Saccharomyces cerevisiae S288C: one gene and its partners. Changing the gene in region 1 together with any one later gene gives a genetic interaction. Each region holds a gene or a part of one and is shown in the gene's direction. Other genes may lie near its edges. The genes, in order: PDS5, NUS1, CYT2 and RRT2.

What was found.
Region 2: mutations in PDS5 (region 1) and NUS1 together harm fitness more than expected from each alone (negative genetic interaction), as found in Saccharomyces cerevisiae (one large-scale study listed by BioGRID).
Region 3: mutations in PDS5 (region 1) and CYT2 together harm fitness more than expected from each alone (negative genetic interaction), as found in Saccharomyces cerevisiae (one large-scale study listed by BioGRID).
Region 4: mutations in PDS5 (region 1) and RRT2 together harm fitness more than expected from each alone (negative genetic interaction), as found in Saccharomyces cerevisiae (one large-scale study listed by BioGRID).

Annotation. Positions count from the first base shown.
Region 1 is NC_001145.3:412,876-422,026, reverse strand, and holds PDS5 (sister chromatid cohesion factor PDS5), read left to right. Parts: upstream 1-1,997; coding exon 1,998-5,831; downstream 5,832-9,151. Other genes in the region: ESCRT-III subunit protein VPS20, read left to right, coding at 1-543; YMR075C-A (uncharacterized protein), read left to right, coding at 5,974-6,339; RCO1 (Rco1p), read right to left, coding at 5,991-8,045; SDD2 (Sdd2p), read left to right, coding at 8,554-8,991. UniProt on the Saccharomyces cerevisiae protein: Essential for the establishment and maintenance of sister chromatid cohesion at centromere proximal and distal regions during S phase. Also required for chromosomal condensation.
Region 2 is NC_001136.10:109,307-116,299, forward strand, and holds NUS1 (ditrans,polycis-polyprenyl diphosphate synthase), read left to right. Parts: upstream 1-5,365; coding exon 5,366-6,493; downstream 6,494-6,993. Other genes in the region: SEC31 (Sec31p), read left to right, coding at 1-1,723; SNF3 (glucose sensor), read left to right, coding at 2,274-4,928. UniProt on the Saccharomyces cerevisiae protein: With SRT1 or RER2, forms the dehydrodolichyl diphosphate synthase (DDS) complex, an essential component of the dolichol monophosphate (Dol-P) biosynthetic machinery.
Region 3 is NC_001143.9:274,306-279,526, reverse strand, and holds CYT2 (cytochrome c1 heme lyase CYT2), read left to right. Parts: upstream 1-1,663; coding exon 1,664-2,338; downstream 2,339-5,221. Other genes in the region: malate dehydrogenase MDH1, read right to left, coding at 1-404; SRX1 (sulfiredoxin), read right to left, coding at 863-1,246; phosphopantothenoylcysteine decarboxylase complex subunit CAB3, read right to left, coding at 2,529-4,244; MIF2 (Mif2p), read right to left, coding at 4,484-5,221.
Region 4 is NC_001134.8:707,542-714,898, forward strand, and holds RRT2 (diphthamide synthase), read left to right. Parts: upstream 1-4,049; coding exon 4,050-5,213; downstream 5,214-7,357. Other genes in the region: glutathione peroxidase GPX2, read left to right, coding at 1-475; chromatin-remodeling ATPase ISW1, read right to left, coding at 609-3,998; snoRNA-binding rRNA-processing protein ENP1, read right to left, coding at 5,463-6,914; HIS7 (imidazoleglycerol-phosphate synthase), read right to left, coding at 7,266-7,357. UniProt on the Saccharomyces cerevisiae protein: Catalyzes the demethylation of diphthine methyl ester to form diphthine, an intermediate in diphthamide biosynthesis, a post-translational modification of histidine which occurs in translation elongation factor 2 (EFT1 and EFT2).

The DNA of each region.
Region 1 (9,151 bases):
AAGAGTCAACTAAAAGACCTAATACGAAAAAATCCTGAAAATTATAAATCTAACATGAAGGTACGATTTCTACTAAAAAGAATTCATTATCAGGAGCATTTGTTGCAGCAGGCTTCGGATCAGCTTATTAATTTGGAAAATATGGTGTCAACACTTGAGTTCAAAATGGTAGAAAAGCAATTTATTAATGGACTGAAAAATGGAAATGAAATCTTGAAAAAACTAAACAAGGAATTTAGCAATGTTGATGAACTGATGGACGATGTACAAGATCAAATTGCGTATCAAAATGAAATTAACGAGACATTATCTAGAAGCTTAGTCGGAACAAGCAATTATGAAGACGATCTAGATAAGGAATTGGATGCTCTAGAAAGTGAACTCAATCCAGAGAAGATGAATAACGCAAAAGTAGCTAACATGCCATCAACAGAAGGTTTGCCATCATTGCCTCAAGGAGAACAAACCGAGCAAAAAGAAAGAGAGGAATTCGCGACGGAGGAGAGATCAGACACTAAGGAACCTTTAGCATTACTATCCTGAATGTCTGTATGTAGCTTCAAAATTAAAAATAAAGGGAATGTAAATAGGTTCCTTCCAGGTTTTTCGTTGATAGAATTTGTTTAGTATTTTCAAAAATAAATACTAAGTTTATATAGTACTTTTATAGCTAAGCCAAGACGTGATAAATAGTCGTTAGAATTTTTATTGTTAAAATGAAGCATCAGCTATCATCTCTTGACTTGTTCCATACTACTAGAAGATTATCATATACGACATAAAAAGATGATATAAAGATTGAGAAAAGTCTAGAGATGTAATGGAAGTTTCTGTCCCAATTATGGCAACTATTAATTTATGTTAACCTTTAAATTTTGCTTGAAATAAAATGATGAATGACAATATATTAAAAGAAAAACAAAATAGAGGAAAAAGTTATAATATTATCGTGTAAAAATATCGATTCCTTAATGTGGATTTCAAGTCCTCGAGGTGAATTTCTCCTATAATCTGAATTCACAGCATCGTAGCCTTCATCAACAGCAAAATTTCTGGGGATAGTGGCTTTTTCTTTATATATTTATCCTGAATCAATGAACTTTCCTAAATTAAAGTTCTTGCACAATTTTCAATGGTCATGCCATGAAATAATACTATTTTGTTAAATGTCGGAGATATTTCAAAAAAAGAATAGGACATGATATTTAGGCCATATATTGAGAGCTACATTAAAAAAGATCCTATTATTAGAGGAAAGTTTCCTGTACGGTTGACCTGAAAAAAGAAATGTTCTTCTATAAAAGATTACATAAAATGTTTAGTCCATAAAACCATAAGTATAGGTCCAGACCATCACAAATAACAGGTTTCGTGGTCTAGTCGGTTATGGCATCTGCTTAACACGCAGAACGTCCCCAGTTCGATCCTGGGCGAAATCATTTTTATCTCAGCCGTTACGGAAAGTTTTTTAACGCCCGTCTGGCGTCCCACCTTTTAGGTAAAGACTCTGAAGTTACCCTCTACCCTCTTGGAATTGCGGCAGTAAGAATAGTTAAAAACATAATTTAGTAAGAAGCAGGATGTATATTTTAATTTATAATAGTGTGATGAACTCCCCTCCTAAATGCAGTACATAGTAAGAATTTCCATGAAAAAGAACAACTCAACTGCGACTGTTTGTTTTATCCTCAGTTTTCAGACTCCTCAATGCAGTTTTTTTCTCAGATTAAACTTTTACCTTTTCATCTATTTAGCCGCCAAGGGAAAATATGCACTACCCGGAATGATGGCGTTAAAAGTGACTTAATCTATAGACATGTCGCGACGCGACGCGTAAAGTTGTATAAACAAGTGAAAGTTTATAAACCTAGGCTCCATCGAAATTGTTGTTAATTGTAAAAAGACCTAAAAGAAGTTTATCCACCTTGTTAGTTTGTATCCGGTCTCAATTTTTACAGGTATATTTGTAAAGAAGCAAGAAATAAAGTGCGAACAAAATGGCTAAAGGTGCTGTTACTAAACTGAAGTTTAACTCACCTATAATATCTACCTCCGATCAGCTGATATCAACAAATGAACTATTAGATCGTTTAAAAGCTTTACATGAGGAATTAGCCTCTCTGGATCAAGACAATACAGATTTAACGGGATTAGATAAATATAGGGACGCACTAGTTAGCAGAAAATTATTAAAACATAAAGACGTGGGGATCCGCGCTTTCACCGCTTGTTGTCTAAGCGATATCCTGAGATTATATGCTCCAGATGCGCCTTATACGGATGCTCAACTAACGGACATTTTCAAGCTGGTGCTCTCACAATTTGAACAATTAGGTGACCAAGAAAACGGCTATCACATCCAACAAACTTATTTGATCACTAAGCTACTAGAATACAGATCAATCGTATTATTAGCCGATTTACCTAGTTCAAACAATTTACTTATCGAACTATTCCATATTTTTTACGATCCTAACAAGAGCTTCCCCGCAAGGCTCTTCAATGTAATAGGCGGTATTCTCGGTGAAGTCATCTCTGAGTTCGATTCTGTTCCCCTAGAAGTACTAAGATTAATTTTTAATAAGTTTTTGACCTATAACCCGAATGAAATTCCTGAAGGTTTGAACGTTACTTCTGACTGTGGCTACGAAGTTAGTCTAATTTTGTGTGATACTTATTCCAATAGAATGAGTAGACATCTAACTAAATACTATTCCGAGATTATTCATGAAGCAACTAATGATGACAATAATTCAAGACTTCTCACTGTGGTAGTGAAATTACATAAACTGGTATTGAGACTTTGGGAAACAGTACCCGAACTGATCAATGCAGTAATCGGATTTATATACCACGAATTATCTTCGGAAAACGAGCTTTTCAGAAAAGAAGCTACAAAATTAATTGGTCAAATACTTACCTCATATTCGGATTTAAATTTTGTTTCTACACATTCCGATACGTTCAAGGCATGGATTTCCAAAATTGCTGATATTAGTCCCGATGTTAGAGTAGAATGGACAGAATCAATTCCTCAAATCATTGCCACGAGAGAAGACATATCCAAAGAACTGAATCAGGCACTGGCAAAAACCTTTATTGATTCTGATCCTCGTGTACGCAGGACTTCTGTTATGATTTTTAATAAAGTTCCCGTTACTGAAATTTGGAAAAATATAACCAATAAAGCCATTTATACATCTTTACTTCATTTGGCCCGAGAAAAACATAAGGAGGTTAGGGAACTCTGCATTAACACTATGGCCAAGTTTTACTCAAATTCATTGAATGAGATCGAAAGGACATACCAAAATAAAGAAATTTGGGAAATCATAGACACCATACCATCCACTTTATACAATCTCTATTATATCAATGATTTAAACATCAATGAACAAGTCGACAGCGTAATTTTCGAATACCTACTACCGTTTGAACCAGATAACGATAAAAGAGTCCACAGACTGCTAACGGTTTTGTCACATTTTGATAAGAAGGCATTCACTTCATTTTTCGCTTTCAATGCAAGACAAATCAAAATATCCTTCGCTATATCCAAATATATTGATTTTAGTAAATTTTTGAACAATCAAGAAAGTATGAGCTCGTCTCAAGGTCCTATTGTAATGAACAAGTACAACCAAACTCTCCAGTGGTTAGCTTCTGGCCTTTCTGACTCTACGAAAGCAATCGACGCCCTCGAAACAATAAAACAATTTAACGACGAAAGAATCTTTTATTTATTAAATGCCTGTGTCACCAACGATATTCCGTTTCTTACTTTTAAAAATTGTTACAATGAATTGGTCAGTAAGTTACAAACGCCAGGACTATTTAAAAAATATAATATATCTACTGGTGCTTCCATTATGCCACGTGATATCGCCAAGGTAATACAAATTTTGCTTTTTAGAGCCTCACCAATAATTTATAATGTATCCAACATCAGTGTTTTATTGAACCTATCTAATAATTCTGACGCAAAACAATTGGATTTGAAAAGAAGAATCTTGGATGATATATCGAAAGTCAATCCCACATTATTTAAAGATCAGATTAGAACATTAAAAACCATTATCAAGGATTTGGATGATCCAGATGCAGAAAAAAATGATAACTTGTCATTGGAAGAAGCTTTAAAAACCCTTTACAAGGCTTCCAAAACATTAAAGGATCAAGTGGATTTTGACGACACGTTTTTCTTCACCAAATTATACGATTTTGCAGTTGAAAGTAAACCAGAAATAACGAAATACGCCACAAAACTTATCGCTTTATCGCCCAAAGCTGAAGAAACTCTGAAAAAGATAAAAATACGTATCCTACCTTTAGATTTGCAAAAAGACAAGTATTTTACATCTCATATTATTGTACTCATGGAAATATTTAAAAAATTCCCTCACGTCCTAAATGATGATTCCACTGATATCATATCATACCTAATTAAAGAAGTTCTATTATCAAACCAGGTCGTTGGTGATTCAAAAAAAGAAATTGACTGGGTAGAAGATTCTCTATTAAGTGACACGAAATATTCTGCAATAGGTAATAAGGTGTTTACTTTAAAGCTGTTCACCAACAAATTGAGATCAATTGCTCCGGATGTTCCACGAGATGAATTGGCAGAAAGTTTCACCGAAAAAACTATGAAGTTATTCTTTTACTTGATTGCAAGTGGTGGTGAGCTGATTTCCGAGTTTAACAAGGAGTTTTATCCCACCCCCAGTAATTATCAAACAAAATTGAGGTGTGTGGCAGGAATTCAAGTTTTAAAACTGGCCAGGATTTCTAATTTGAACAACTTTATCAAACCTTCGGACATTATTAAATTAATTAATTTGGTTGAAGATGAATCGCTGCCAGTAAGAAAAACATTTTTGGAACAACTGAAAGATTATGTTGCTAATGAACTGATTTCCATAAAGTTCCTACCACTAGTATTTTTTACTGCTTATGAACCAGATGTCGAACTGAAAACCACAACGAAGATATGGATAAACTTTACATTTGGCTTAAAATCATTTAAAAAAGGGACGATATTTGAAAGAGCTTTGCCTAGGTTGATACATGCGATTGCACATCACCCTGATATTGTGGGAGGTTTAGATTCCGAAGGAGACGCATATCTAAATGCTTTAACAACAGCGATTGATTATTTGCTGTTTTACTTTGACTCTATTGCCGCCCAAGAGAACTTCAGTTTGCTCTATTATTTATCAGAAAGGGTAAAAAACTATCAAGATAAGTTAGTTGAGGATGAAATTGATGAAGAAGAAGGACCACAAAAAGAAGAAGCGCCAAAGAAGCATAGACCTTACGGTCAGAAAATGTATATCATAGGTGAGCTGTCGCAAATGATTCTATTGAATTTAAAAGAGAAGAAAAATTGGCAACATTCAGCATATCCAGGTAAATTAAACTTACCATCAGATTTGTTCAAACCTTTTGCAACGGTTCAGGAGGCCCAGTTATCTTTCAAAACATACATACCAGAGAGCTTGACTGAAAAAATACAAAACAATATAAAAGCTAAAATCGGACGGATTCTTCACACGTCACAAACTCAAAGACAAAGGCTTCAAAAGAGGTTATTAGCTCACGAAAACAATGAATCACAAAAAAAAAAGAAGAAAGTTCATCATGCGAGATCACAGGCTGACGACGAAGAAGGTGATGGGGATCGAGAATCAGACAGTGATGATGACAGTTATTCACCGTCTAACAAAAATGAAACCAAGAAAGGGCACGAAAATATTGTGATGAAGAAATTGAGGGTCAGGAAAGAAGTTGACTACAAAGACGATGAAGATGATGACATCGAGATGACTTAGAAGGGAAAAAAACATCAATTGCTATGTTGTAAATGGAAAAAAAAGGAAAATAGGTAGATCTCTCACTTTAAGATGCGATACATATGCCTATGTATGTGTGTATATATGTAAGGAAGGTGTTCACGTTCCTGATTTATTCTTTATGTATGTACGCCGTTTCTATTCGGATTGGTTTTCGGGATTTTCTATGTTTAAAAATTTTAACAGTTCTTCCTTTGGTTTGGATTCGATAATCTTCTTTAAATATAACAGATGCTTTATTTCATCGCTGGAAAAGTCATTGAATTGTATAGAATCTAGTTCGTTCGGCACGACTACGTTAGTCAGTTCTTTCAAATCCCATAATTTTCTTAAGTTATTGCTTTTGGAAGCCGATTTATTGTTACTACTCTTGTCGTTGTTGCTAACTTGGAAATATATTAAAGAGGCTATGTCTTTGACCATATTATCCTCGCTATTGCCATTTTGGGATCCATTTGATACTAACTTATCTATTAAACTTTCTTGAAATTGAAAGAGTTTTCTTTTTTGAACCATTTTTGATTTGTAAATTTTATCAAAAAAATCATATTTAATGGAATTTTCATCTATTTGTGTAATTTTGAAATCTTGATTGAAATCATAATCTGTATGACTAGTTGTTGGTATGATTTGAATGTTCCCGTTATTTTGGTAGCCTATTTTTTGTAAAGGTTCATAATAAAGTTGGTTTTTCTTGTTTATCAATCGTTGTTTTTTCCACACCTTATAATTTACGCTATTATCTTCTTGACAATGGTGTATCTTTTTGTAAACTTTAGTTGGGGAATGTAGAGGACATTTCCATTTTGAACCTAAGTTCTTGAAAGAAGCCCTCGGTACACAATCCAAATGCCATGGAGTCTGACAATAATCACAAGTCATTATTAATCTTGAATTTTCTGGATGAGACCATGAACCTAGTCTGGTTTGATTGCATTTGTAACAAATTAAAAACTTACCTGAATTTGAATCTATATGTGTATCCGGGTTGTAAGAGTCCAATTTAGTTATGCTTTGGCCATAAGAAGTGTTAAACAATTGTCTATCAGTTAATGGAATCTTATCATTCTCATCAGAGTATTGTCCTCTCGAACCCGTTTTCACAGCAGGAAAGGTTTCTTTTATATAATTTGGTAGCTGGAACTGTTTTGGGTTGTGGGAATCGATATTGAAAAGTAATTTAGCAAAAATCTTGACGTTGTTATTTTGCTTAATGAAGTTGGATTCAATTTTTTTTAAAGTTGCCATTGAGTTATTTATGAAGATTTTAAACTTACATTCATTACAATGCCAATCACCTTTAGGCAGGTTGTTCGGATCAATTGGTGGGTCTAAGCAAAGAAAGTGAAAGGATTTGGGGCATGTATCACAGCATAAAAAAGAACCTGACTGATTACAAGCCGAACAAAAATCTTCATTCTCAAAATCTATGGTTGAATTGTTCTTGTCCCTGAAAATTTTTTCACTCGCATTCGATGTTGACTTGATGGAATTTTGGCCAAATAGTTTACTTTTTGAATCATAGGTAGCATTCGTTGAAAGTATTATTTTGGTTCTAATATTTGATAGCTTTTTATTATCGCGGTCGCTTTCAGGTTCACGGTCACGAGTTCTGTTTATTATATCGCCATTCCAACCAATAGTTGACCGTATATTGCTCTCTTCAGTCATGTTCTCAGTTAAAAACGTTTTCAAATCATTTCTGTTCAAATCCTGAAAATTTTTCGGCACCTGAGTAAATCTTTTACTGGGGACCAGCGTCATTTCTGAGTTGTTCGATTGGCCTCCCAAATTTTTTCTATAATTCCAAAGAGACTCTCGCTTGATTTTCTCAGAAGGACCTTTATTTAACGGCAATCCAGTGACAGATACCTTCGAATCTTCCGAGATGGTGGATGGCTCATTAAGTTTGATGATATTACCCTTGGAGTCCTTTTCAAGAAGTTCCTTGGGTTCTTCTTCCGGGATATTGTCTTCAACTGCAAGATTGCTATGCTCGTTCTTGAATGATCTTTCTATACCTTCAGAAGTGATGATCTTTCTCCTTTTCAAATCGTAATTTACATTCTGGGAGGATAGTCTCTTAGGACGTTTTTTCTCTTTGGAAGAAGATGAAGAGAGAGAAGAAGATGAAGGAGAAGAACTGTTGGAATGTGAGGGCGACCTAGTAGTATCTTTCTTGCTGGTGTCCATTGTATTATTATTAGCAGATGGTAATGGAAGTGTCTTTTATAGGTTTTTCTATGGTGATTATTCTCGTTTATACTTGGTATTCTTCTTCCTTCCTCTCGTGCTTGTTGCAAATGTTCAAACGCGTAGTGGGTACGTCGTTCTCTACAAAGGAATGAGGCAGATCTTGCAGCGAGCTACTAAAACTACCACTTATGGGTTAACACGATATATATGTATTTATATCTACTAATATGGTATTAAGGCTCAAAAATAACCTTGCAACAGAGAGCAATAGTATAATTTCCTACATGAGGAAGAAAGTTGCCTATTATGGTGAGCAGGTGAAATCCTAGCTGCGAACGGGAAACTTATTCGGACGAGAAACAGATGAGAAACAGATGAGAATTTTTGGGCTGGGTAAGCGAGAATTTTTATACCACTTGTGGTTCTACAAGGAGAACCAAGAGTAAAAGTTGAAAAATCTTCTTGCTCTCTGGATTACAATTCAGGAGGAAGTGTGTGCTCAGATATGGACCCAGAGTTACAAGCTATTAGGGAAGCCAGATTGGCTCAGTTGAAAAACAACAGTGGGGGTACCAACGGCGATAGAAATAGCGGTGCTAATAATGGTGGAGGTGAAAATTCCGCTCCCGTTGGTGCAGCTATTGCAAATTTCTTGGAGCCACAAGCTTTAGAAAGATTATCTCGAGTGGCCTTGGTCCGTAGAGACAGGGCCCAAGCAGTAGAGACATACTTAAAGAAACTGATTGCTACAAACAACGTCACTCATAAAATCACTGAAGCTGAAATTGTTTCAATCTTGAATGGTATCGCCAAGCAACAAAATTCACAAAATAACAGTAAGATTATCTTCGAACGGAAAGATTTCAGCGAAGATCTGAATTCATTTGACAAGCAGAATGCTAAAAATGATGACGACGAAGATGATGACGACTTCTTTGATTAGTTTATATAAACGAATAATATGTTTTTTCGTATAATGTTACATTTAGTACAAATCATATCCTTTATAGAACTAGAGTTAAAGTTACATTAATTATGTGTAGCAAAAGGACGAATAAGCAGAATATAACATATTAGCAGGTGCTTAGATTACACTCATAGAG
Region 2 (6,993 bases), on another chromosome or scaffold:
TGCCAAATTTTTGGAATTTATCAACTTAACTACTTCCACAGGAAATTTCGAACTAGCCACTGAATTCTTAAATAGTTTACCAAGTGACAATGAAGAGGTTAAAACAGAAAAGGCACGTGTCTTGATTGCTTCCGGCAAATCATTACCGGCACAAAATCCTGCGACAGCGACGACCAGCAAAGCCAAGTATACAAACGCCAAGACAAATAAGAACGTTCCTGTACTACCAACTCCTGGAATGCCTTCTACTACTTCTATTCCTAGTATGCAGGCACCATTTTATGGTATGACACCAGGCGCCTCTGCAAATGCTCTACCTCCAAAGCCGTACGTTCCAGCAACCACCACTAGTGCTCCTGTTCATACAGAAGGTAAATATGCGCCACCAAGCCAACCTTCGATGGCGTCACCTTTTGTTAACAAAACAAATAGCTCGACCAGATTGAATTCTTTTGCTCCTCCGCCTAACCCATATGCCACTGCAACAGTTCCTGCAACGAACGTATCTACAACGTCGATTCCGCAAAACACTTTTGCTCCTATACAACCTGGTATGCCTATTATGGGCGACTATAATGCTCAATCTAGCTCTATTCCTTCACAACCTCCAATTAATGCTGTATCGGGTCAAACGCCACATCTCAACCGTAAAGCCAATGATGGTTGGAATGATTTGCCTTTGAAGGTCAAAGAAAAACCATCTCGTGCCAAGGCTGTATCTGTTGCCCCTCCAAATATCCTATCGACACCAACTCCATTAAATGGTATCCCTGCAAATGCTGCTAGTACCATGCCTCCGCCACCTCTTTCCAGAGCTCCCTCTTCTGTGTCAATGGTATCACCACCTCCTCTACACAAAAATTCTAGAGTCCCATCCTTGGTTGCAACTTCTGAGTCACCAAGGGCATCCATATCAAATCCATACGCTCCTCCTCAATCATCACAACAATTCCCAATAGGTACTATTTCTACAGCAAACCAAACGTCAAACACCGCTCAGGTAGCTTCATCGAACCCCTATGCTCCACCACCACAACAAAGAGTAGCAACCCCATTATCTGGAGGCGTGCCTCCAGCTCCGTTGCCAAAGGCCTCTAATCCATATGCTCCAACTGCAACCACTCAACCCAACGGTTCCTCCTATCCTCCAACCGGTCCGTATACTAATAACCATACCATGACCTCTCCTCCTCCCGTTTTTAACAAACCTCCCACTGGCCCCCCTCCGATTAGCATGAAGAAGAGAAGCAACAAGTTAGCTAGTATAGAACAAAACCCATCTCAAGGTGCTACTTATCCTCCAACCCTTTCCAGCTCGGCCTCTCCATTGCAGCCTTCTCAACCGCCAACTTTGGCTTCTCAGGTTAATACCTCCGCTGAGAATGTCAGTCATGAAATTCCAGCTGATCAACAACCCATTGTCGACTTCTTGAAAGAAGAACTGGCTCGCGTAACACCATTGACCCCAAAGGAGTACTCCAAACAATTAAAGGATTGTGATAAACGATTAAAGATTCTTTTCTACCATTTGGAAAAGCAGGATTTATTAACCCAACCAACAATCGATTGTTTACATGACCTCGTCGCATTAATGAAGGAAAAGAAATACAAAGAAGCTATGGTCATCCATGCTAATATCGCTACAAACCATGCTCAAGAGGGTGGTAACTGGCTGACAGGAGTGAAGAGGTTGATTGGCATAGCTGAAGCGACTTTGAATTAATTCAGTCTCAAAACTTTCAGTACAAAAAGTGGCGTATTGGCCTTGTTTTTTTCTTATTATGTCTTATAGTATTATATTTATATATTTATGTACTTATCCTTTTATGTTTAAACCTAATCAAGATCACAATTAGAACTAGCTTAACATTACTTCTCAAAACCAACCAATACCTCTTATATCTTTTTTACAGCCTTTCCCTTATGTTTTTACCATGTACACCTCGAGCGGCAAATCTCCGGGGAAATTTTAAACTTGCCGCATCGCACATTCTAAAGAACAAAAGGAGGAGGAACTGTCAATTATTCTATAATCTGGGGAAATTCAGTCATACTGAGAAAAACTAGACAATAGTCCTATCCTCGGCAAATTGCATTGATAGTACTTACACATCGAGAGATCATAGGACAGATAAGAAGCATTTTATTGAAGAAAAACAGAGAGAGTCACTATAAGTTGACCTCACTATAGAAATTAAAACAGAAAAGTTTTACTGAGGACCTTTTTAAACAGAAGGATATGCCTTTGTTGGCATAGAAAGAAGAATTTATAAATGGATCCTAATAGTAACAGTTCTAGCGAAACATTACGCCAAGAGAAACAGGGTTTCCTAGACAAAGCTCTTCAGAGGGTGAAGGGCATAGCACTGCGACGAAACAATAGTAACAAAGATCATACAACAGATGATACGACAGGTAGCATACGAACCCCTACGAGCTTGCAGCGGCAAAATTCTGACAGGCAATCTAATATGACATCCGTGTTTACGGATGACATTTCTACCATAGACGACAACTCAATTTTATTTTCAGAGCCTCCTCAGAAACAATCTATGATGATGTCTATATGCGTAGGTGTTTTTGTTGCAGTTGGCGGATTTTTATTTGGTTATGATACAGGTCTGATCAACAGTATTACATCTATGAACTATGTGAAGTCACACGTAGCACCTAATCACGATTCATTTACCGCCCAACAAATGTCCATTTTGGTGTCATTTTTGTCATTGGGAACTTTTTTTGGGGCTTTAACTGCACCATTTATATCTGATTCGTATGGCAGGAAGCCTACTATCATTTTCAGTACAATTTTCATCTTCTCTATCGGAAATTCTTTACAGGTAGGTGCTGGAGGAATCACATTATTGATTGTGGGAAGGGTCATTTCAGGTATCGGTATAGGCGCAATTTCAGCGGTTGTTCCATTATACCAAGCAGAAGCTACACATAAATCATTAAGAGGTGCTATTATTTCTACTTACCAATGGGCCATTACCTGGGGCTTGCTCGTGTCAAGTGCAGTGTCGCAAGGGACACACGCAAGAAACGACGCATCTTCGTATCGGATTCCCATAGGGTTGCAATATGTCTGGTCGTCATTTCTCGCTATCGGGATGTTCTTTCTCCCTGAGAGTCCACGCTATTACGTTTTGAAAGACAAGCTAGATGAAGCAGCTAAATCTTTATCGTTTTTAAGAGGTGTACCAGTCCATGATTCTGGGTTACTGGAAGAACTAGTTGAAATAAAGGCAACATATGATTACGAGGCATCTTTTGGTTCTTCGAACTTCATTGATTGTTTTATTTCAAGTAAAAGTAGACCAAAGCAAACTCTAAGGATGTTTACGGGAATTGCCCTTCAAGCATTTCAACAATTTTCAGGTATCAACTTTATATTTTACTACGGTGTCAATTTCTTCAATAAGACAGGAGTCAGTAATAGTTATCTGGTTTCATTTATAACCTATGCTGTTAATGTTGTCTTTAATGTTCCTGGTTTGTTTTTTGTGGAATTTTTTGGTAGACGTAAGGTGCTGGTTGTTGGGGGTGTTATCATGACTATAGCCAACTTTATTGTGGCCATTGTTGGGTGTTCCTTAAAGACTGTAGCGGCCGCAAAAGTTATGATAGCATTTATATGTCTATTCATAGCTGCCTTTTCTGCTACATGGGGTGGTGTTGTTTGGGTTATTTCAGCAGAACTGTACCCATTGGGTGTGAGATCTAAATGTACGGCTATATGCGCTGCTGCTAACTGGCTTGTAAACTTTATTTGTGCTTTAATTACCCCTTATATTGTAGATACTGGGTCGCATACATCATCATTAGGTGCAAAAATATTCTTCATTTGGGGCTCCTTAAATGCGATGGGGGTGATAGTTGTTTACTTGACCGTTTATGAAACGAAGGGTTTGACATTAGAAGAGATTGATGAATTATATATTAAGTCATCCACTGGTGTCGTGTCACCAAAATTTAATAAAGATATTAGGGAACGCGCACTTAAATTCCAATACGATCCTTTGCAAAGATTAGAAGACGGAAAGAACACTTTTGTTGCTAAAAGAAATAATTTTGACGATGAAACACCAAGAAATGATTTTCGAAATACGATATCGGGCGAAATAGATCATAGTCCCAATCAAAAAGAAGTTCATTCTATCCCAGAACGTGTTGATATTCCTACTAGTACAGAAATTCTTGAAAGCCCGAACAAAAGTAGTGGTATGACAGTCCCTGTGTCACCTTCTCTGCAAGACGTTCCAATCCCGCAAACAACAGAGCCTGCTGAAATTCGAACCAAATATGTGGACCTAGGAAATGGGCTTGGTCTTAATACGTATAATAGAGGGCCTCCCTCACTCTCAAGCGACTCAAGCGAAGATTACACAGAAGATGAAATAGGCGGGCCCTCATCTCAAGGCGACCAAAGTAATAGAAGTACTATGAATGATATTAATGATTATATGGCACGTCTCATTCACAGTACTTCTACTGCAAGTAACACGACAGATAAGTTCTCCGGTAACCAAAGTACCCTTCGTTACCACACGGCTTCCTCACATTCGGATACAACTGAAGAGGACAGCAATTTGATGGACCTGGGAAACGGGCTTGCCTTGAATGCTTATAACAGAGGTCCACCTTCAATTTTAATGAATTCCAGTGATGAAGAGGCAAATGGTGGTGAGACGTCTGATAATTTGAACACAGCTCAAGACTTGGCTGGTATGAAGGAACGAATGGCGCAGTTTGCGCAGAGCTATATTGACAAGAGAGGCGGTCTGGAACCTGAAACTCAATCTAATATTTTGAGCACTTCTCTCTCCGTGATGGCTGACACTAATGAACATAATAATGAAATCCTCCACTCAAGCGAAGAAAACGCCACTAATCAACCTGTAAATGAAAATAATGATTTGAAATAATTAATTTAATGTTATTCGATGTATTAATTAAGCGGACGTGCATTATAATTTTAATCATGTGAAAGAAATAATTGTAACTTGAGATACTACTCAACTTTTATAGATACACAATGTTTATCTTGACACACATTCAATTACATTACTTGATTTAATGCCTTTCCAAAATTATGATCTTTTCTTCTATAACACTTTTGGATACTTAGCCGCCGACGGATACCATCTTCGGTCAACGTCGGAAGTCATTATAAACGAAAAGGTTTCCCAATAGAAAAGTCCTGCAGGAGCCACGTATAACACTGGCTTGAATTATCAACAACTCTCGAAGGCGCTGGAAGAGAATTTTTACGCAAGTTAGTATTCGCATAACATTAGTTGGCAAATTACACAATTTTTTGATACAATATATATACATATATTTTCCCCATTGTTTTTCTTAGATGCCCACGATGATCAAAAAGGATGATAAAGCAATGGAGCCCCCTAATGAAAAACCGCATAGAAAGATCGAAAGAGATGATGTTCCAGAATCTTCCAATCACATCCCACCTCCAGAATCTGGTGTTTTAAAGGGCGGTAAAGTTAATTCAAAAACCAGAGCTTTAAAGGCCGTTACAAGTATCATTGCAGACGCCGATGAGAACCCTCAGAAGAAAGTGAACAATGAGACGAATGGAGTCCAAAAGCAAAAGACAGAAGATTTGAGTAAAAGAATAGGTAAATTTGAATACCTTTTTTACAAGTTTTTACTTGTGTTGTTATACATCTGCTTCGGGTTGTTTCGGTACGGTCAATACCAATATAATAAAATGAAACTAAGAATATTCAGTATCATCTACAACCATGCATATACACCACAGTTGATTAGACAGGACGTTATTCCTCTGAAAAAAATTCCTAAAAGGTTGGCCGCTATCTTGGAAGTCAAGCCAGTTGGCGACGTTGGCGGCGGTGTGACAGGTTTATTAAATGACGCGAGTGAAATTGTTTGCTGGACTGTTTCAGCTGGTATAAAACATTTGATGTTGTACGATTACGATGGAATATTACAAAGAAATGTTCCAGAGCTGAGAATGGAAATTCATTCCAACCTGGCTAAATATTTTGGGCCAGCTCATGTTCCAAACTACGCTGTTAAAATACCTCATTCTAACAAGATATTCTACAATCTAGACGGAATTGAAACCGAGACTGATGTAGGCAATGAGATAGAAGCTAACCAAGAAAAGGACAAAATTGCTATTGAAATTTCTTTATTGTCTAACAGAGATGGTAGAGAAACGATTGTCGATCTGACCAAAACTATGGCTGAGTTATGTGCGGTTAACGAATTGAGCGTTTCTGACATCACAATGGATTTAGTTGATTCAGAACTGAAACAACTAGTTGGACCCGAACCAGATTTACTGTTATACTTCGGGCCTTCGTTGGATTTACAAGGGTTCCCACCTTGGCATATTAGATTAACCGAATTTTATTGGGAAAAAGATAACAACGAAGTCATATATTCGGTTTTCATCCGCGGCCTAAGACAGTACGCAGGATGTAAAGTGAATGTTGGTAAATGATACTTAAGAGCTAAACGAAAAGATAAGTATCTCGCTCAACCTTTTAATTTTGCACAGTTGAATTCTCGTCTGATACTTAAGAAAGTCATTGCCCACATATATAACAGTAGTAATAATGATAATGATAGCAATAGTTTTAAGCTAGCTACTTAGTTGCATTTTTCAATAGTTTAGTAAAAAAAGTCACGCAATAAGCTCTCAAGAAGCCACTAATACCGTAATGATAGCAGTTTATTGTAGAAAAACCATGTTATTACCCTTCCCTTTTTATTTCTTTTCGCGTTGCAAATCACATATAACGAGGTGGCTTGTATTTGTCAAACCAAAAAAAAAAATGAAAATCGAAAAATGGAAAAACAGAGAGAGAAACGGAATCTTTGACACGTTCTCGATCCACTTGTTTATCGAGGTGGTTTTTATAAGTCTTACTAGATAGAAAGTTCATTTTGTTTTGAAACTTTTTGGAACCTCTGGCATTGAAGGTATAAGAAAGAACTCAA
Region 3 (5,221 bases), on another chromosome or scaffold:
ATGACCAGAATGGCAGCATTGGGAGCGGATTCGGCGGTTGCTGCTGCCAAATCGCGAACGATGCTTGCGTTGATGGCGAACAAGTCATCACGTGTCATACCAGGCTTTCTGGGCACACCAGCAGGAATTAAAACCATGTCTGTGTCCTTTAAAGCGTTGTTCAATCCGTCTGGCTCTTCTGGAGTAAACCCCTTGACCACGGAGTTTGTTGGAATATGAGACAAATCGGTGGCAACACCTTTTGCGCCCTTTAGGTCGTACAGTCTTAAGTCCGTGACTTTATGGTTAAGCTTTAGAAGCAAAGACAATGGTTGTCCAATACCACCGCCTGCACCCAAAACAGTCACTTTATAAGGGTTGGCAACTGTAGAGGAAAACGCACGTTTAGCTACTCTTGACAACATTGTATATGGTATCCTTCCTTTTCCTTTTGTTTTTTTTCTTCCTTTCCGTAGATGTCCACGTATAATATATTGTATATCTATATGTGTATTCGTTATCTTAAGTGGAGGAATACAGTACAAACACCCAATGCGTGCTAACACTTCTTTTTAAAGCGCAAGCTATATATATTGTAATATCCGCCATTGTATTATGGCAACTTTTTTTTGTATTTTTCTGGGAATCCGCTTGGCGCGTGATTGAGCCAATGAACGCTGAGTGAATGCCGAGAAGGGGGGGAGAAGCTGGCAGGAAGGCCCAACCGCCAGGTCCCTTGTACCTCTCCGGCGCCGAGGGTCGCACAAACTGCTAGTGCCTACTCTAGTTGTTGAATAAGAAATTGATTAATTAAATTGAGGGATTTTGTATTAGTGAATTATAATTTATCTATGTTTCTTATGTAGTGTTATTAGCGTAATCATTATTCGATGTCGAGACTGCTGCCCAGGTACATGCGGATTTGGCGGGGAGTGGCCGGTAGCACCCTGCAGCGCACGGGGAAGGCGGCGTTCTGCGTTTCGCGAGCCCGGCGGTCGTATGCCTGTAGACGGTGGCAGCCGCCGAAGGCATAATATAGCGTCTGTCCCTTGACTCGCACGCCCAGCACGTCCACGGGCGGCAGTTCCCCGGCTGAGGCAGCCGCCTCAGCCTGTTCTAGAGAGCATGTCTTGCTAGCGGTGGGAATGCCCTTCATTGTGGCCACCATTGCGTCGATCTTTTGAGGATCCAACACAGGCGCTAGGGGGCGTCTGATCTCTGAGAGAGGAATTTCTGTTGGTTTTACACTGTTGCTTTGTAGTGACATATTGTTCTTTTTTTACTTGGTTTTGTAGTTTTTTTTTTCAGTAAGAAAAGTATATATAGCTCATTGATGGTAGATATTGTGGTTTATATACAACACCTCTTGACATGTATTGCATCGCATCCTTACCCAACAGGGCTACTGTAATGACTAAAAATAATGGCGACTTCTGGGCCGGCCTTCTAAAAAAAAGGGACCCGCAACGGGTAACGGCATATTTTTTTCGAAATCAAAGTTCCAGCTTTTCGATGTTTGTAAGCCTTCTAAGACAGAAAGATGTAGTATAAATGATGTAGCTTACTAATCAGGGAAAAAGCAATCGCTAGTATTGCAGAGGCCAAAGGCTTAAGCATCACATTTCGGTAGTAGTAAATAGTTTGTTAGTTCACGTGCTTTTCATTCGTCTCTATTTTACATATTATGATGTCTTCAGACCAACAGGGGAAATGCCCCGTAGATGAGGAAACCAAAAAGTTATGGCTACGAGAACATGGCAACGAAGCGCATCCTGGTGCTACTGCCCCAGGCAATCAACTAGAGTGCTCTGCAAACCCACAAGATAACGATAAAACGCCTGAATATCACACCACGGTGGATCTCTCTCAGTCCAGAGAGGTTTCCACCATACCAAGGACGAATTCTGACAGAAACTGGATATACCCGTCGGAGAAACAATTTTACGAGGCAATGATGAAAAAAAATTGGGATCCGAACTCAGATGACATGAAGGTGGTTGTGCCTTTACATAACTCCATCAATGAGCGGGTTTGGAACTACATTAAAAGCTGGGAAGACAAGCAGGGTGGTGAAGCGTGTGGCGGTATCAAATTAACAAATTTTAAAGGTGATTCCAAAAAACTGACACCAAGGGCCTGGTTCAGGTCCCGTATCTTGCACCTGGCCAAACCTTTTGATAGACATGATTGGCAGATAGATAGATGCGGTAAAACCGTCGACTACGTAATCGATTTCTATTCCACCGATCTGAACGATGCAAACTCGCAGCAACAACCACTTATTTATCTCGATGTTAGACCAAAATTAAACAGTTTTGAGGGCTTTAGATTACGGTTCTGGAAATCTTTAGGCTTTTGAATTACTACAACTATTCCTGTAAATAAAAACATACCCTCCCTAGTTTCCACATACATATTTATTTAATCTTATTTAGGCACTCAATTTAGAAACTAGGGAATGAAAAAGCAGTAATCTTCTTTTAAGGAATAAACAAAAAAAAAAAAAATAAAACATAAAACATAACACAAAATACTCTTTTCTAATGCATTTAAACTTCGGTTTTCACGTCTTCCTCATCCTCTTCGTCTTCCTCGTCATTGCTCTCATCGGATGCTGTTTCATTTAGAGCTTCTTCCTCCTCCTCGTCCTCCTCATCCTCTTCGTCATCCTCATCATCGTCGTCCTCATTGTCAGCACCCTCTTGTTCTTCTTGTTCTTGCTCTTTATCACCAGTTTCCTCGTCCCTAGCTTTCCGTATTTCATTGATTCTCCTCCTAACGATCTCTACAATATCTGTCCATTCTCTCATACCACCCATACCAATATCTCCGCATATTAATACCTTTTCCACCGGTTTCAAAACTTGGATGAACGGATAGTCTTGCACTAAACTCGTCAGGTGTTTCTTTGTCATAGGATTGATATACATGAATGTATTCATTGCAGGCGCAATCAACACTGGGGTCAGTGGTGACCAATCTCTCATCACAGAAGTTAGCAAATTGTTACATATACCATTGGCCAGTTTAGCAAGTGTGTTAGCTGACAAAGGCGCAATCAGGAAAATATCAGCCCATTTTCTTAATTCATGGTGCAATATCAAGTTCAGACTCAAGCTAGTATCATTCTTATTCACAGCGTCGAATACCCAAGCGTCTTCCTCCCTCCAAATTTTAACGTGTGTTGACATTTTGAGCCCTTTCAAAAAATGCTCAGCGGGTTTTGTGACAATCAACTGAATAGAGATTTTCTCAGGCCCATATATCTTGAAAAGTTTATCAATAATTAGAGGTACTTTTATTGTGGCAACTGAGCCCGTCGCACCAATGAGAATGTGGAATTTCTTGTCGTCTTCCTTCTGAAAGAACTCTGTGAAGGGTACACGAGGCCCTGTGGGTGCAGTGATAACTTCCTTGTTTTTATGTGTGGAGTTATTAGCCGATAATGGCGCCGCCTTTGCAGTGATAGGTTTAGAAGCGTTTGACTTGGGATTGAAGTAGATAAAATCACCTGGCATATGAACGATAGAATTTTTTTCCATCGAAGGTGAATCTACTTCATCTTCGCTATTGCTCGTACCACTCGATACCGAATGTTTCCTGATATCAGTACCATCATTAGTAGTGTTCTCCTTAAATATTGCATTCGCTATCCTCTCCTTTTCGTCTATCAGTTGCTGTCTTTCAGTTTGCTTTTTTTGCACTTGCTCCTGAATTTGCTTCACCTCTTCTTGCTGTTTTGCTCGTTGATTTTGCTCCTGCAGTTGTGCCTTTTGCTGCTCTTCTTGTTGTTGATTTTGCTGCAGTTGTTCCTGCTGCTGCTGCTGCTTTCCAGGTTTATTGGATATCGAATATCTATGATACGGCAACCTTTCCACCTCGGGCACCGTAAATGAAACAGCAGAAGGTAATGAAGGTGAAAACCTTTTTTGCTGGCCATTTGTATTAGCTGGCATACTGGTGTTGATCTGTATTTCATGGCCATCTTTGTTCCTTTCACTATTTTGCTTCAGATTGGCAAAAGAGAAATCCCTCAAATTTGTGCTATAATCGTTTTTGTAAATATTCCTCCTATTAGAGTTGGATTTTGATTGATCTTCATGACTATCAGATCTTTCGAAATTTGATTCATCGTGAATACTTTTTCTTCTCTCCTTGTTGGTCAAAATTGAAACCGGCACTTGTGTTGTAGGCAAGGATGAAATTAAGTTAACTCCCTGCTTACCGTTCATATTCTGATCTGAGTTCACTTTTTCATCCGTCATCACACCTAATAACTCTTTGCTGGTCCTTTAGACTTTTATTTAAATATGCTAACTAAGTGTTACTTTACTGTTCTTTCTCTTTTTCTGCTTTTTGTTCTCTCATCTACGAAAGTTCGGTGCGAAATTTTACGTGATTCATTTTCTTACAGAAAAGTTCACATGTTTAACAGTATAAGCGTATGGACCTAGTTATATTTCTTCAGTACATAGCATGCATAATGAGAATATTCACATCATAATTACCCAAAAGTGTCAAACGTACTGTCTAATTCTTTGTCGTTGTCATCGTTAGCGTCTTCTGAAACGGTCACTTGAACGAAGAACATTTTGGCTTCATCATTCCCTCTATTGGCAATCGCGTACTCGTTGAATGCCGGTATTTGGAAAGTGGAACCTTTAACGCTCAAGAACTTGTTCTTACATACAGTTACTTCGACTATTCCCTGTATCACGTGGAACGTAATATATGTCCTAAATGAGTTGCTTAATTTCTTTTGTCCAGAAATAGCTGGTAGTTTTAATATGCCGCTAGCAAAATATTCTTTATGCTTATCGAACATTATCTCAAGGGCAAAATTCTCGTCCTTCGTGTCTTTTACTTGTTCAGTTTGCGACAAATTGGGCGCGAATGCAATAATTTCATCCTTAGTTTCCTCCTTAGTGTCGCTAATTTTCACATTAGCTTCCAGTATTCCATGTTTCAGCCACTCGCCATTTTCTATGCCTCCAGATTCTATCCTTTCTATAATATCCTCGTTGGGATCTTCTGGAATCAAATTTTCCTTTGCATTTGGATCCTTCTTTGGCCTTCCTCTTGGTCTCCCCGTAGGTACGTAGTTGTAAGGTCTGGTTGGTGTAGGTTTTTTTTTTTGTTTCTTCCTTCTTTGTGCTGCCAATATCTCCTCTTCGTCTTCAGATTCATCATATGTGACAATTTTGTCTATGTCAAGAACGGGTTTATTGGACTTCCTCTTATA
Region 4 (7,357 bases), on another chromosome or scaffold:
TTATGATTTAGAATGCAAGGACAAGAAAGGCGAATCTTTTAAGTTTGACCAACTGAAAGGCAAAGTAGTTCTCATAGTTAATGTTGCCTCCAAGTGCGGCTTCACGCCGCAGTATAAAGAATTGGAAGAACTATACAAAAAATATCAAGATAAGGGGTTTGTTATTTTGGGGTTCCCATGTAATCAGTTCGGGAAGCAGGAACCGGGCTCTGATGAACAAATTACGGAATTTTGCCAGTTGAATTATGGCGTTACATTCCCAATTATGAAGAAGATTGATGTTAACGGAAGTAATGCTGACTCTGTCTATAATTATTTGAAAAGCCAAAAAGCAGGTTTACTAGGTTTCAAGGGTATCAAATGGAATTTTGAAAAGTTCTTAGTTGATTCCAATGGTAAGGTTGTCCAAAGATTTTCCTCCTTAACAAAACCATCGTCCTTGGACCAAGAAATCCAAAGCCTGTTAAGTAAATGATATCTTTGTCTATAATCAAGCAATTATCCGGAACAATAAATAATACATTTATAGATTAGTATGATTATATATTTTTCTTCAGAAGCATGGTGTAGGATATATTAAAAAAAATCGAAATATAAAAAAAGAAGGTTTAATGAGTGGTTTCGTTTTCCGGAATTTTCTCTGCTACCAACTGTTCAGTTCCAACATTCGACGTATCCTCAATCTTCGCTTTTTTGCTCTCTACTCCATCAACGTTCTCCTTCTCATTAGCGGTCTGATCTGCAAATTCTTCCCTTATCCTTTTACCATTTTCATCTTCTTTCTTCATTCTATCTTTAGTGGCGTCATCCAATACAATCCCTGCGTTAAATTCCTTTTCCAAGCATTGCAGTAATGTATTTCCTCTTCTGGCTAGCTCTACAGGTGTCCTGCTTCTGAAGTAAAAGTCTAATTCGAATAGGGGACAATCTCTAATTTCATCACGCACTAATTCGTATACGTCATCTCTATCCAAGCCATACTTGAATAACATGAGAAGGATAAAACGATCTTCTTCTTCAGAGTACGTCCTTTTGTTGTTAGAAGAAGGAGGATGTTTTAATTTCAAATCGAAGAATGGATTCTTATACTCAGACAACTTCCGACGTAAAGCCTCTTGTTGCATTTTGACACGCTTGATCTTCTCTTCTTCATTCTCAATTATTTTCAGATATTTCTCATAATCTTCAATTCTTTCAATGTTAGACCAGAAGGCCTTAGCATATGCGCGAACTTCCTCTAGTGTTTTGCCAGGGGCCAATTCTCTCGCAATGGCTTGAATGGAGTTCCTACCGTATTTACCAGATACCGTGATGAATTTTCTAAATTCTAATTTATTCCAATTTGTAAATCCTTCAGACTCCCAATCAGCCTTCATCTTTTCTTCCTCTTCAGTTAATGGTTGCGAGTTGTTAACCGACAATTTTAACAATTCCAATTTTTGTTTCTTTTCTTCTTCATCTGAAATATCGCCATATGCTGCTTTTACGTCATCCATGGTCGGTACATAACCAGTCTTCTTCGCCGTCCACATTCTTTCCTTTTCGTACAGGACTTTCAATTGGGGAGGTTGTAATTGATGGGAATGGAAGACATGAGGCTTAGGCATTCTGGGGTGTGATGGGGTCGAGGACCTTCCTGTATTCAAAACATCTTTATAATAATTATCAATAGAGTAATTTTCCTTACGTTCACGTTTGGTGGGGTTGAGCAGTAGCGGACTTATAATATCCCTTTGTATTTTCTTCTTGAAATCTTGACCATTCCATTCATAGGCCGAATCTTGGTTGAATTTTTGCAAATCATCAAGACCTAAAGTTTCATATTTTGCATTTAATGACTTAGTTTTGTTTTCTGATTTCAGTAAAAGTTCGTCCAGATCAATATCATCTCCTTTTTCTCCTGAACCAGGTTCCGGCGTACCAGCTGAACCGGTAGATGTACCACTTTTGAATACATCGGCGGCACCATGTTGAATCATGGATAATAAAGCATCTTTGGAATCTGCTTTATTTTCCTTCTTTTTCAAAGAAGTCCTGTTTTGCTGGATAACTAATTGATCTAATCTTAACTTCTGGGTAGCCCTTTCTAAAATTTTCTCTTCCACGGAGTTATCTGTGACCAAACGGAATACCTTGACCTGCTTCTTCTGACCAATACGATGCGCTCTATCCATTGCTTGTAAATCTGCTTGTGGGTTCCAATCTGAATCATACAAGACAACGACATCTGCTGACGTTAAATTGATACCTAACCCACCTGCACGTGTCGTTAATAAGAAAACAAACTTCTTAGAATCAGGAGCATTATAATCATCAATGGCTTGAATTCTATCTTCGTGAGCGGTGGAACCGTCGATCCTGCAATATTCATAGTTTCTGAAGTAGCAATAATCCTCGAGAATATCCAATAATCTTGACATTTGACTGAAAATCAGAACTCTAGAACCTTCTTCCTTCAATTTCTTCAATAACTTATCCAAAACTTGAAGTTTGGCAGCGTTATAAACCAAGTGCTCATCCGTAGTGTACGGTGGACCTGGCTCAGCACCATCGAATAAATATGGATGATTACAACATTTTCTAAGTTGCATCATGATATTTAAAAGTCTTGTTTTGGATTCCTTGCTGCCATTAGACCCGTTCACAGCGTCCAGATCCTTTTCCAAAATCTTTTTGTACCATTTCTTCTGCATGCTAGACATACCGACATATAAATTCAGTTCCTTTTTAGGCAGTAAGGATGTTTCCACATCGCTTTTGATACGACGTAGTAGAAAAGGCTGTAAAACAGTGTGGAGTTGCTTGACAATTTTATCCTGATCTTCCTCTGTGCTTTCAGAAGAAAACCAATCGTCGAAATCTTGTGCATCGGAAAAGATATCTGGTAACAAAAAATTTAATAACGCCCATAGTTCATGCAAATTGTTTTGCAAAGGAGTACCAGTAATCAACAGCCTATTACGTGAGGTAAATTCCCTTAAGACTTGCGAAAGCATTGACTCTTCATTCTTGATTCTGTGAGCCTCATCAATGATAATATACTCCCAGTTAATCTTCTTAAGGGGCGACTTTTCTCTTATAATAATTTCATAAGAAGCAATCACAACATCAAAGTCACAACCTAAAAGTTTTTTTTGGATCAGTTCAGCTCTTTCTTCTTTATCTCCTTGCAAAATAAAGGCGTTTACGTCTGGCGTCCATCTATTTATTTCTCTCAGCCAATTATTTAAGGTAGACTTAGGCGCAATGACTAAAAATGGACCTGGAATTTTTTCAATGTACCTAAGATATCCCAGAAATGAAATAGTTTGCAGGGTCTTACCTAAACCCATTTCATCAGCAAGGATACCCGCTATTTTGTTCTTATGCAGAGACACCAACCAGTTGACACCTTGGATTTGATAAGGTCTCAATTGACCATTAACGTAAGCAGGTGATTCTCTGAATTGGAATTCAATGCTCTCATCATCATCCGAGTCTTCTTCTTTCAATAATTCCGCATCTTCTTCGTGTTCAGTCTTTCGTCTACGAACATCTTGGTGTTTGCCTTTGCCTTTGCCATTTGCTTTATTTTCTTCTAATACATCTAAGACCTGCCTGAATTTGGGATCTTTAGCGGCTTTACTTTCAATAAAATGCTTGAATAAACCACTCAAGGATAGCAGATGTTCAAATCTTTTTGTAGTGCCTTCCAGATCAAACTTTTTACCATTAGCATCCTTCAGCAGGTAACGTTTTTTATTCGATTCAGGATCATGTGGAGGGAGACCGACCTGGAACGGTTTTAAATTCTCCAAGTACTCTTCTGAAGCAGTCATAATTGAACCAGATGAAATACAATCGTATTTTTTTTTTTCTTGCAAAAATATGGCGAGAATAATTTTGAATAGGTTCTCATCTTTGTCCTTTTCATTGCAAGAATTGTTTTCGTGTTTTTTTCTCATTCTAGTATAGAACTTGAAAAAGTGAAAATTTGCAATAGCTAACATATAGGCCATAATAGGGTATTTCTACATCCACCTCTAGCTGGTTTTTGCATAGCTATACATATGGACTCTATTCAAGAATCAGATGTACTAAATGCAGTGAAAACAAAACTACCGCCGTGTTGTTTGAGAATATTCAGGAATAAGATCATCCTTGTTGGGACGTATGATTTAGATAAGTCAACTGGATACAGGTCAGGCTCACTGGATGTCTTCACAATGGACCTCAAACTTTTATGTTCGAATAATACGTATGGCGCAATCCTAGATTTGAAGTTATCCCCCTTTGATGATACATTGATATGCACGGCCCATTCGACAGGTAATATCATGCTATGGAGGATACGGTGCACAGATAAGGATGATTTCCAATCAAACGAACTAGATATTCATGCAATTGCAAATCTACAACTCTTTGAAAAAGATGTTCTCATTGCCTCGTGCCATTTTTCCCCACTTGATTGTAAGAAATTACTTGTAACAAATACGGCAGGCGAAGCAGCTACCATTGATATAAGAACACTATCTGTACAGTTCACGGCATCAGCAATCGCGCAGGCTTACTCAAAACTAGATAAAATAGATTACGAAGTTCAAGGTGCAACCGAAAAAGTCATTCATGTTGAATCGGGACAATTTTTGAAACCCCATGAACTCGAGTGTTGGACTGCGGAATTTGGATCTCTACAGCCTTTTCAAGACGTTGTATTTACAGGAGGTGATGATTCGAGAATTATGGCCCACGACTTACGTTCCAAAGAATTCATTTGGAGTAATAATCGTATTCATGATGCTGGTGTTGTTAGCATTAAGTGTAGTCAACCTAACTTTCGAAATAATAAACCCACGTCCATAATAACTGGATCCTATGATGATAACATTCGTTCTCTGGATTTAAGGATGATGGGTGAGTCCATATTTCCTGGTGCAAATGTCCCCACAGTTAATAAATTGGCGTGTGATCTTGGTGGCGGTGTTTGGAGATTTGTTGAATCCCCCATTGATCAGGAACAATCTCACCACAACGGCTCCGATCGGCTTTTAGTTTGTTGCATGTACAATGGTGCCAAGGTGGTGACCATGAATGATAATTCCGATGAGTATTTTCAAATTCAACATTATCTGAAGAAGGGCCATGATTCGATGTGTTACGGTGGCGACTGGTCAAATTCTTTGATCGCAACATGCTCATTTTATGATAATTCCTTGCAAACATGGATAGTTTAGAAAAAAAAATTCAGTCTGCAATATATGGACTAATATATAGGCTAATATATAGGCTAATATATAGGCTAATATATAGGCCATATTTTGATGATTTCGATAGATTATGCATAAAGAATTGATAGGAAGGAACTTGCCTGAACAATAATCTTTTACTCTATATTTTCTACTTATTATACATGATTCAGAAGCTTTGTTGAAAGGGGGAAAGACCGAGCGATATAAAATTGATGAAAAATTGATATTACAGCATCAATTGACATCAATCATTAAATCATCATTAGCTTCCTGTGGATCAACAAACTCCCTGCTGGCTCCTGCCAATAGTTCTCTTCTAATCTCAGGACCGATATCTTTATGGCCTCTTTGACGAACAGTTTCCAACAAGAAATCTCTCTGATCCTGGGTAATATCGTTCTTGTAACGTTGTGCAAATGTTAAGAAAGCCTTGTGCCATATCACTGGGAGTACTCTTGTAGCATCTTCCCCATTACTACCGTCATCCAAAATTCTAAACCTCATAAAGTAATACACGCAGTCGTCCACCGTCTGGTACGGTAAAGCATATTTTTTATCGAGCAATATTTTGATAAAAACAGTTGTAGGTGGAGAGAAAGGTAGCCTTAAAAGATAACTCAAGGCAGCTGAAGAATGTAAAGCCGGAACAGAGACTTTAGCAAGCACACTTCCTGCAATTGTCGCTTCACGTACATTACACCCTGTTTCAACCAATGGGAATAGGAAACCTTTGAAGAAGGCACTTGGTTTATAAAGCGATTTTTTCACCGCACGGTATATATGATAGTTTAAAGAGTGGTCTTCACTGGTCTCGATATTGTCACGGAAACGTTCAAGTAAAATTAGGTTAATAAATTTTTGAGATTCTTTAGCAGTTAGGTTGGATACAAATAATTTCGTTGCTTCGTAAACAACGTGTGGTGACCATTCTTCCGGGTTGGTCACATAAATGACATCTTGCCAATTTCTTAAGGATGGGATAACCTTGAACAACTTTGGCAACTTACCGTGCGTCCAAGTTTTTAAAATACTACCTACCGTAGTATATGCTTTGATGACCTTCTCTGGAAGTGCAACACCCTCTCCACTCTTCAAACCGGATGAAATATTGCCTCTTGAGGTATTCTGTTCATTAGCAAGTGGTTCATCATCTTGCATATCTTCAACTTGACTTTCCTTTTCTCGGATAGAGGCCATAATCTTGTCTGCAAGATTATAGCTACCACTTAAAGAGTTAAAATCATCTGATTTCTTGAAATATTGCTCAAACATCGCTGCGTCTTCTTCATCGATTTCAACTATCTCTTCCTCTTCTTTATAATCACCTTCGGGTTCAAAATCGGAGATGTCTTCTCCAAAAGCTTCTTCGTCTTCGTCTTCGTCTTCGTCTTCATCATCATAGCTCATGGTGGTGAATCTGGCTTCAAATTGCTTGTTTCTTTCTGATTCAGCAAGTTCCTCACCTTCAATTTCATCCTGTTGTTCCTTGGCCAACTGCAAAATTTTTCTTGATGCTTTGGAGTCTATGTATCCATCTTCCTCATTTGCAGCATCGTGATTTGCAGCATCGTTCTGCGCTAGCTTCTTTTTATTGATTTTTTTCAAGGTACCTTGAGCTGCATCTAAATCCTTTAAAAGTGGATCATGCCTCTGTTTTCTGGCTTTAGTAGAGGATGCTCTGGCCATTATAGTTAATCTTTCTAATATATTGTTTTATCTGTAAGTCTTAAAACGAGACAAATCTTGGATTTAAAACAACTTAGTGCATATTTCCTTTCGTCAATGTTGAAGAAGTGGGAGCTCATCGATTTTTAAAAATTTTCATTTCCGATGCCTCGCTAAAAAAAAAAAATGAAAAAGTGGAAAAATATGTTCTATTTCTTCCCCTACTGACACCACCAATAATACAACCATATAAGTTGGTACAATTTCTCCAAGCTGTACATCCTCTTGTGTTGTGAAATGTCTGATTTAACATCTATCATTATTGCGTATATAGACTGAGTCAAGATTATAAAGTATACATATCCAACCACATTACTCTTCATCCATTCTAACCTTTAATCCGTGCTCTAGTAAATACTCCTTTACATCGTTAACAGTGAATTCACCTCTGTGGAACATACCTG